2 linked regions of the Arabidopsis thaliana genome follow. The protein of the gene in region 1 interacts with the protein of each later gene in a pairwise test. Each region holds a gene or a part of one and is shown on either strand. Other genes may lie near its edges.

The links.
Region 2: the proteins of IAA5 (region 1) and ARF4 interact in a two-hybrid assay, tested with the Arabidopsis thaliana proteins (2 studies listed by BioGRID).

The regions. Positions count from the first base shown.
Region 1 is NC_003070.9:5,364,972-5,368,236, forward strand, and holds IAA5 (indole-3-acetic acid inducible 5), read right to left. Parts: upstream 1,527-3,265; 5' UTR 1,490-1,526; coding exon 1,144-1,489; intron 1,027-1,143; coding exon 942-1,026; intron 854-941; coding exon 793-853; 3' UTR 541-792; downstream 1-540. Other genes in the region: CYCA2;3 (CYCLIN A2;3), read left to right, coding at 1-98, 194-247; AT1G15590 (E3 ubiquitin-protein ligase), read left to right, coding at 2,403-2,788, 2,867-2,992, 3,234-3,261. UniProt on the Arabidopsis thaliana protein: Aux/IAA proteins are short-lived transcriptional factors that function as repressors of early auxin response genes at low auxin concentrations.
Region 2 is NC_003076.8:24,307,731-24,314,531, reverse strand, and holds ARF4 (auxin response factor 4), read left to right. Parts: upstream 1-1,747; 5' UTR 1,748-2,344; coding exon 2,345-2,719; intron 2,720-2,861; coding exon 2,862-2,918; intron 2,919-3,180; coding exon 3,181-3,366; intron 3,367-3,464; coding exon 3,465-3,549; intron 3,550-3,632; coding exon 3,633-3,723; intron 3,724-3,846; coding exon 3,847-4,008; intron 4,009-4,105; coding exon 4,106-4,225; intron 4,226-4,307; coding exon 4,308-4,383; intron 4,384-4,482; coding exon 4,483-4,648; intron 4,649-4,749; coding exon 4,750-5,438; intron 5,439-5,532; coding exon 5,533-5,723; intron 5,724-5,805; coding exon 5,806-5,974; 3' UTR 5,975-6,277; downstream 6,278-6,801. UniProt on the Arabidopsis thaliana protein: Auxin response factors (ARFs) are transcriptional factors that bind specifically to the DNA sequence 5'-TGTCTC-3' found in the auxin-responsive promoter elements (AuxREs). Could act as transcriptional activator or repressor.

The DNA of each region.
Region 1 (3,265 bases):
CGGATCTGAAAGCATCTGTTCATGCCTTACAAGATCTGCAGCTTAACACCAAAGGTTGCCCCTTGAGCGCTATACGCATGAAGTATAGGCAAGAGAAAGTAAGCTTATCAGTTAAAACCACATACTAAAACCTGTTTGGTATAACTTTAGTTTGGTTTCCTTGATTCTCATAAGACTTATTATGGATTTGCAGTACAAATCTGTGGCGGTTCTCACGTCTCCAAAGCTACTTGACACGCTATTCTGAAGGTTTCAACTCCTAACCGATAATAGTTTTGTCACATTGATGGTCCAATTTCGTTTTCATTCATCTGTTACTCTTTGTTCATAAAACAGAATTTCCACAGTCCCACTCATCTAATACCTGATTAGAATTCGGTTTAGCCTAGTTTGATCCGTGGTTTGGTTCTTCCAAACCCGGGAACATCTAATCGGTACCTAGAGTTTTTTTTATTGTAACGAGAATGTACATTTTTCTCCCATCTTGAGGCAATGTAAACAGATTCGGAATTTTCATATCAGTTTTCTGATATGAAGTAGGTTTAAGTATTTATATTTCAAATTTCATTGATTGTTGATATTGAACTGTCATGCAGTAGCTTATAAGAACCGCCTCTAGACTTTAGTCCAGTGACCAAAAGATAAAGATGAATGAACTATGTCAAAGAAAACAACTTCTACAGAAATTTCGGAAATCTTAGACTTCCGAAGAGAAATATTGAGTAACTGCAAAAATGTATATTTAGATATCTGTAAGGCTCACTCACATTCACATGTGACTATAAATATCATTCATCCTCTGTTACATGATCTCTTCATAATCCTTAACCTCTTGCACGATCCAAGGAACATTCTGCACACAAATAGTTTCATAATTTATTAGATATCAATTAAATAAAAGAAAGTAAATTTGAATGTTATAGAGGTCGCTAGAAACTTACTCCCAAGGAACATCTCCAGCAAGCATCCAATCTCCATCTTTGTCTTCATATATTGGTACACATTCACTTTCCTTCAACGTATCATCTTCATTTTCATATATAAAGATTATAAAGTTAATATCGATGTTTTGGATCATTAGTTGCCTTGATAAGTAAAGACTAAAACCAAAAATATATACTATATATAGAAACATAAACTAACCAAAATTGATATAGCATCCGAACAGAATTTGCAGAGCGGAAGCAAGATCTTGGTAACATTTGTACATTTCCAAATCAATCTTCCTTAAAAATGCAGCTCCATCTACACTCACTTTCACGTACGAACTTTTGGTCCGTTCGAGACTGTTCTTTCTCCGGTACGAACAAACCGGTGGCCAACCCACAACTTGACTCTTTTTCGCCGGTTCACATTTCAAATCAATCTCTACTTCCGGAGAAGCCCTCTTCTTCCCGGAGATGGACTCACCGGAGACGACGATATCTCCGGGAAGACCTAGCCGTAGTTCGGTGATTTCGAGTCCAAGATTATTACTCTCATTCGCCATCTTTGATGTTTTTGATTGAAAGTATTGGTGTTAATGTGTTTGAACTTTATTCTGTTGCCACTTTATATGTTCTCATGGGAACATAAACGATGGCGTTTGAGACAAGCTTGTTTAGCATTGATTTATCTTGTCGGCCCCATTCGAAGATCTTGTCGAAATTTTTATGTCATGTTTTTTCATTCCTTTGCCGCTTCGTGTTTAAATGTCGATAATATGGATCCGTTGGTTCGACACACTGGACGGCCACGATTTTGTTACCGACAAAGTAGGGTTTCTTTCTCAGCCGTTGGATCAGAAACACGTTACTTTCTATTAGACATCCCATGTTATGTGTGATTTGTTATGTCTGTATCCCATTCTTTTAATCAACGACATAATAATAAAACAACATATTCATGGTCGAATATATATTAGTGCACTTTAAAATCTACGTATATTTATGTTTCTCGACAACCGAACACGTGTTACTCAAGGCTAAGACAAGTTATTATATTATTTCATTTTTTTCTACACGTAACACACTACACAGTGCATACATAATTTCAAAGAAAAAAATGCATCTACGTTTTCGTCATATATCTTGTTTCTGCTATTCACACATGTGCCCGATACTTTCATTACATCATACGTAATCTACACATGTACACCATACTTTTGTCATTATTTGTTACGAAATAGAAACAGAACTGATCAAAATATCAATTACGGGATATATTTCCATTTTTCATAGATATTTCCATATCTTTGTATCTCCAATAGTACATTTTTGGAATGTTCACATGTTGATAGATAAGCTAGATTAGTCAAATTTCCTTGTACACAATTTCTAGTTTTCGATTGATCATGTAGAATTGCGTATAATATATTGTCGGCTGGCTTTAGCCAATGAATAACACAACAAGACTTTGTGATAATGGACAGCGAATCCCACAGTGATAATGATGATCACATAATCGACATTACAAACGATGAAGATTCTTCATCAAGATCGTCTTTGGACGAGAGAAGCTATCCTTCATTAAGTTCGTCTCTGTCTACGGATGACGAATCGTCAGATGAAGGTGCAAGTTCATCTACGAGAGACTGTGGTAGTCTTTGGAATATAATGGAATTAGTAGTCACTTTGGTTCAGATTGTTGCATCATTAATAGTTTTAACTCTGGCAAAAGATGAACATCAACAAGCACTTTTGTTAACATGGGTCATCGGTTACACTTGTGGCTGTATTACCATTACGCTCCTTATTCTCCTCTCGTGTGTCCGCAAATACAACCGAATTGGTGTTTACTCAAAAACGAGGTATAATAAACAACACTTGTTTCACTTAACATTAAGAGTTTAATTAGCTAAATCAAACCGAACCGTTGTTGGTGGCAGAACGGATAGGGTAATGGATGCTTTGAAGATGGGGAATGAATGTTTCTTTGTTGTGTGGTTAGTTATGGGGATTCTATGGATTTGTTATGGACACTCATCTTCTTCTGATACTCCTAAGCTCTACAGGTTTGACTCACAATCATGTCACAGTAGAGATTTAGTTAAACCCTAACTAATCAGTACTAACTTTTGTCTTCTTGATTATGTTTTGGCAGGTTATGTGTAGTCTTCATTGCTTTCAGTTGCATTAGATTTGCATATGCATTACTATTATGCGCAGGTATTTTTTTCGCTTAATGTTCACTAGAGTTTGGAACATTTTTTTCTCATATCTATGATGTGGATAAGTTGAAATCAAATGATGTAGATTCTGTAAGGGAAGGTATAGGAGGTAGATTT
Region 2 (6,801 bases), on another chromosome or scaffold:
TAGCAAACTAATATTATATGAGCAAAAATACATGTTACTAGATTTTAACCCGCGGTACACCGCGGACACAGTTCATTTTTAAAAATTAATATATATAAAAATTTGTAAATTATTTTATAGTTTACCATTGTTACTAAGTAACGTCCTGCCAAACCCGTCCTGCCAAACCCGTCCACAAAAAAAAACTATTTATTTTATTAATGTTGATCTTATTTATAATATGTTTATGAATCATTGTCAAAATATTTTAGTCGTTGCGGGACGTTGTACCCACACATTTTTCGCCAATTGGTTAATATATGTTCATTCTTAAAATTTCGAATTACAAAATATGACGAAATTTTTTTTGAGATTTTTTTAAACTTTATATATTATATAATGATGTTAATTATTTTTGATAGATTAAACTTTTTATAAATTCAAATATTAATAATGTTTTATGAAGTTTAAATATACAAATAATAATATTTAAAAAATTAATATTTTTTGCCTTTTAGGTAAATGATATAATAACTCTAAAAGCAAAATTTAAAAGATTTAAATCTTTAAATAAATATTTTCATGCCTAAATAATTAATGTCAGTAGCATGACATTGTAAATAAGTTCAAATACATGATTTGTTTATTTAAACAAAAAATATTTAGTAAGAACAATATTTATTTAAACAAAAAATTTTGTTAATAAAATACGTTTATGCTAATTTTAAGGGATTGATGTGAAGTTTGTTTGGATTAAATTTGATTGATAATGTGATTGACAATTTAAATTAAAAATTTAAAGTAAAATTAATTATTTTGAAAAAAAGATTTAATGCTAATGGCATTGGGTTGTAAATAAGTTCAACTCTAAGATTTATTTGCTAAAATGACTGCAAAAATGTATATATAAATGTTTTCAAATTATGAAGCAATCATTTGGACCATCAAATATATTTTATTTATTTTTACTAAACCCATTTGAAGATATTTATCCAATAAGTAGTAAGTATTTGAGTAGTTTTATTTTACTGAAAGAGTCGGTGTGGTTATTGAAGTATAAATTTTATATTACAGACCGCTGAAAGTTTTTTTTAGTTGATTAGGTTTTTAAACACAGACAGTACTTTAGTTAATCAATAACAAAATGCTGATTTTCATATTGTTTGTCTCAGAAAAAGAGAGAAAAAGTGCTTTTGTTACAAAATCGAAAGGAGCCTACTCTTCTGTCTTTAGCCGGTTGGTTGGCTCTTAACAACGCAATGAAAAAGCATTTTTTCTAATAAATCGAAAACAAATAAAAATTCATAACATAAAAAAAGAAAGAACAAAGAAAGATTCCAAAGAGATACTGTTTCCTTTGTAAGAGTATGCAAAGAAAAAGCTAATCAATTTGCGGTTTTTATTCCTCACAACTCACACAAGTTAAAGAAAATTATGGTGTGAATGAGAAAAACAAAGGGTTACGTCAATTTCGTAATACCATAAATCCAATAGATGCATATAAACTTTGATGGTTCATTTTGAGTGAATAGTCTAGTATGAATAATTAAACGATTGATTCATCGATGGTTTGACGTATTTAAAAAACAGTTGATTTTGAAGAAAACAATCTAGACAATGGATTGAATTAGTCTTATTAGCACCTAATTAAACTTTTAACATTTCTTCTTTCAACAAAAAGGACGAAAATCAAAAACGGTAATAATTAGCAAAAAAGTGAAAACTTTTATTTTGTGTAAACGTGTGTATATTGACACAAATATAGTTTTTATATATAAAATTTCATGTGAATAAATAAGTCTTTATTGGGAAACAAAAACAAAAAAGAGAGAAGAAGAGGAAGAAGAAGAAGAAGGAGAAAGGGAGAGTGTAGGTGTGGGTTCTGTTCTGTCTTGGCTTTGTCTCCCCCGCTTATCTCTCCCTCTCTTTCTCTCTCTCTCTCTCTTTCCACTAAATTGTTTTTTTTTTGCTCTTTAAAAAGTATATTTTTTTCCAATCTGCAAATTTTAGTCTATGTCTGTTCCTTGTGCTCCCTCTTCTCAGTACCTGCAAATGGAGGAAGAAGAATCCTTCTCTGAAACCCTTGTTCTCATTTGATTCCTCCTTCCTCTCTCTTCTTCTCTCTCTGTCTCTGATTCGTTATTCCACACTTATGACTCATCTTTCCCGTCAATAGCTAAGTTTGCCTCTTCTTTGTGAAATTTAGCTGAAAAAGGAGAGGAATTCCGAATTCTGTCACTTCAAAGCTCGAATTTTGCAAACTTTCCTTTGATGGGTTTTACTTGTTTTGTTGTAATCTGATTAAAAATAGAAACTTTTTGTTTTCTTCTTGTCTCCTTTTGCTCTTAAAAGAGAAGCTTTTTCAATGGAATTTGACTTGAATACTGAGATTGCGGAGGTGGAAGAGGAGGAGAATGATGATGTAGGAGTAGGAGTAGGAGGAGGAACAAGAATTGACAAGGGTAGGCTTGGAATTTCACCATCTTCTTCTTCTTCATGCTCTTCCGGATCATCATCGTCATCATCTTCTACAGGCTCTGCATCTTCCATTTACTCTGAGCTTTGGCATGCTTGTGCTGGTCCTCTCACTTGTCTTCCCAAGAAAGGCAATGTAGTTGTCTATTTCCCTCAAGGTCATTTGGAGCAAGATGCTATGGTTTCATATTCGTCTCCTCTTGAAATCCCCAAATTTGACCTTAATCCCCAAATCGTCTGCAGGGTGGTTAATGTCCAGTTGCTTGTAAGTCTGTCTGTATCACTCTACCCAAATAAAGAACATTCCTTTTGTGTTCTATTTTACTATTCTTGAACAAGTTCTGTTTTCTTTCTCTAATTGTGGTAATTGTTTGCAAACTTGGTTCCTTCTTTTGGGGAAACAAAAGGCTAATAAGGACACCGATGAGGTCTACACTCAAGTCACTCTGCTTCCACTTCAAGAGGTACTCTCTTTTACTCAAACTTGTTGCTTTTTTGACAATTCAATTGATTTTTGATATCACTAGTGTAATTCCAGATTCTAGGTGTGATTTTAGATGCTACGGTTTAAAGAGATTGTGAATAATCTTGTTTGTTCTCTAAGTGACTCAAACTCATCATTGGTTTAACAGGATCAGAGGAATCACTGAAACCGTTGGTCTTGTTGAGTTTCATTTATAATCTCTGTGATGTTAAGATGCTGAAGTAACTTCTTGGTTTTTATAGTTTTCGATGCTAAATGGGGAGGGGAAAGAGGTCAAGGAGTTAGGAGGGGAGGAAGAGAGGAACGGAAGCTCATCCGTCAAGCGGACACCTCATATGTTCTGTAAAACCTTAACAGCGTCTGACACAAGCACACATGGAGGCTTCTCTGTACCTAGAAGAGCCGCTGAAGATTGTTTTGCTCCTCTTGTATAATTCTCTATATCTCATTTCCTTATTTTTTTTTTTAAGGAGAGGTTTTATCTTCTTGTTATAAGCCTTATTTGTGAATTTTCCACTGGTGTTAGGACTACAAACAACAGAGGCCATCTCAAGAGCTCATTGCAAAGGACCTCCATGGAGTAGAGTGGAAGTTTCGCCATATCTATAGAGGTGGTTTTGAGTTTGTTATTATTCGTTTCTTTTTTCTTCGTCAGTGAAACCAAAATGTTTAGTTCTGTCTCTTTTTAATATAGGTCAACCAAGGAGGCATCTACTCACCACTGGTTGGAGTATCTTTGTCAGTCAAAAGAATCTCGTCTCTGGTGATGCGGTTCTCTTTCTGAGGTAATCGTAAGATTTCAGTTTATCAAATGGTGATGTAGATTCATGGTGTTTCCCTCTGCTTTGGTGGTTTGAAGCCCTTGATCCAATAATGTTTACATTCATTACTAATATCGGCGTTTATAGAGACGAAGGAGGAGAGCTGAGATTAGGAATCAGAAGAGCAGCACGGCCAAGAAATGGACTTCCTGACTCAATCATTGAGAAGAATTCATGTTCAAACATTCTGTCTCTTGTGGCTAATGCTGTATCTACAAAAAGCATGTTTCATGTGTTCTACAGTCCACGGTGAGATAAAAATGAAAAGCTGCCATTCGTAATGATTCTTAACTAGGTTCAGTAAGAAATAAAGAACTATAATGTTGATTTGTGGATTTATATACAGAGCGACGCATGCAGAGTTTGTGATTCCTTATGAGAAGTATATCACAAGCATCAGGAGTCCTGTTTGCATAGGCACAAGATTTAGAATGCGATTTGAAATGGACGATTCTCCTGAGAGAAGGTATTGTTTCTTTCTTGCTTCTTTCTCTGTGTTGTGTAGCTAATATTGTTGGACGAGAATTTATATTCGATCTTTCTTGCAGATGCGCTGGTGTAGTGACTGGAGTCTGTGACTTGGACCCGTATAGGTGGCCAAACTCTAAATGGAGGTGCTTGTTGGTGCGTCCTCTCATCTTTTTGGAGTATCTGTCTATTAACGTGTAGAAGACTTTTCATTTTCGAAGATTGATATCTAAATCTTTCACATTTGTTTGGCAGGTGCGATGGGATGAGTCTTTTGTGAGTGATCATCAAGAAAGAGTTTCACCTTGGGAGATTGATCCCTCGGTTTCTCTCCCACACTTGAGCATTCAGTCATCTCCAAGGCCTAAAAGGCCATGGGCAGGTTTACTGGATACTACCCCACCCGGAAACCCCATAACAAGTAAATTATATAGACCTCTCTTCTCTTTGGAGTATATGCTTTTGCAAACAGTTCTCAATTTTCATCAGTATATTATTGATAACTGTTCTTGGTTGCAGCAGAAAGGGGTGGTTTTTTGGACTTTGAGGAGTCGGTTAGACCCTCTAAGGTCTTGCAAGGTCAAGAAAATATAGGTTCTGCATCACCCTCACAGGGGTTTGATGTTATGAACCGCCGGATACTGGATTTTGCGATGCAGTCTCATGCAAATCCAGTTCTTGTGTCGAGTAGAGTCAAGGATCGATTTGGTGAGTTTGTAGATGCTACTGGCGTGAACCCAGCTTGTTCAGGTGTTATGGACCTGGATAGGTTTCCAAGGGTCTTGCAAGGTCAAGAAATTTGCTCGCTTAAATCATTCCCGCAATTTGCTGGTTTCAGTCCAGCTGCTGCTCCTAATCCCTTTGCTTACCAAGCCAACAAGTCAAGTTACTATCCGCTAGCTTTGCATGGGATTAGGAGCACTCATGTTCCGTATCAGAATCCATACAATGCGGGAAACCAATCCTCGGGTCCCCCTTCACGTGCAATAAACTTTGGTGAAGAGACTAGAAAGTTTGATGCACAAAATGAAGGTGGCCTACCAAATAATGTTACAGCTGATTTGCCATTCAAGATTGATATGATGGGAAAACAGAAAGGCAGTGAGTTGAATATGAATGCTTCATCAGGATGTAAACTTTTCGGATTCTCCTTACCAGTGGAGACACCTGCATCTAAGCCGCAAAGCTCGAGCAAAAGAATCTGTACAAAGGTAAAACGTTTTCTTTATCATCTCTTTGGCTACTTTGAGTTGCAGTTTTAGATGTCTCTTCTAATCAGTTCTTGTGTTGAATTGTTATCAAAAGGTTCACAAGCAAGGAAGCCAAGTGGGGAGAGCTATTGATTTGTCGCGACTTAACGGGTATGATGATCTCCTTATGGAGCTTGAACGGCTGTTCAACATGGAAGGGCTTCTCAGGGATCCTGAAAAAGGATGGAGGATCTTATATACTGATAGTGAGAACGATATGATGGTCGTTGGCGATGATCCATGGCAGTAAGTTCTTTATACATACCTTCTAAAGGTCAATCACAACTTCTTTTCTCCTAACTTGAAATTGGCTTTCTGCTATGGATAGTGATTTCTGCAATGTGGTGTGGAAGATACACTTATACACGAAAGAGGAAGTGGAGAATGCGAATGACGATAACAAGAGTTGTTTAGAGCAAGCTGCTCTCATGATGGAAGCATCAAAGTCATCTTCTGTGAGCCAGCCTGATTCTTCTCCTACAATCACTAGGGTTTGATACCCATAAAGAAGCTTATTTCCTATGTTTTAAAGTGTGTTTTGCTCACAAAAGAACTTCAACTTTATCTTTGTCTTTGAATCCATTTATGTGTTTGTTTGTGTTTCTTCTGGTCTCCATGGATGTCTCATGTGTACCGTTTTACTCGAGAGATATGTGAGTTTATGGGATGTGTAAAGCATGCCATTGGATTTTAAGGTTTTCAAAATTACAATATATATATTAGTTTTGAAGTATTTTGCTTGATTTTGAAAATTTCATTTCTTAAGTTCTTACATATGTGGATACTCTTGTATTGTTCTTACAATTTTTTTATTTATTTTTAGATTGATATCTAATACATACTAGATATTTGATGATGATTTAATCTTTTTTAAGGAAAATAAATATTAGAGTATACTGCACGGATTAATTAAATAGAATGATGTGACATAGATTTAGCCTTTTTTTCAACTAAAAGTTAACCTTAATTTTATTATATTTTCCTTAAATTTAACATTAATTTTATTATATTTTCTATATTAGAATTAGATTTTTATCATTTTAGGAATATTTCACAATATCTGTATTTCATCATTATAAGGAATGAAATTAGAGGGAAAGCCATTGTAATGCTGTCATTTCATTTTTTACAATGTACCAAAATATGTGGGATAATGTATGTACTATTTTAGTTGAAAAATGGTGCACACAGAAATTTTCATTATGCTTTTTTGCAAATTTATTTTAAAATAGTACATGATTGATTATGATTATTACCTTTCTGTGTTTAAAATTCTGCAATTGCCCAAAATGCGTAAACGTAACCATGGCAGACTAGTATTTTC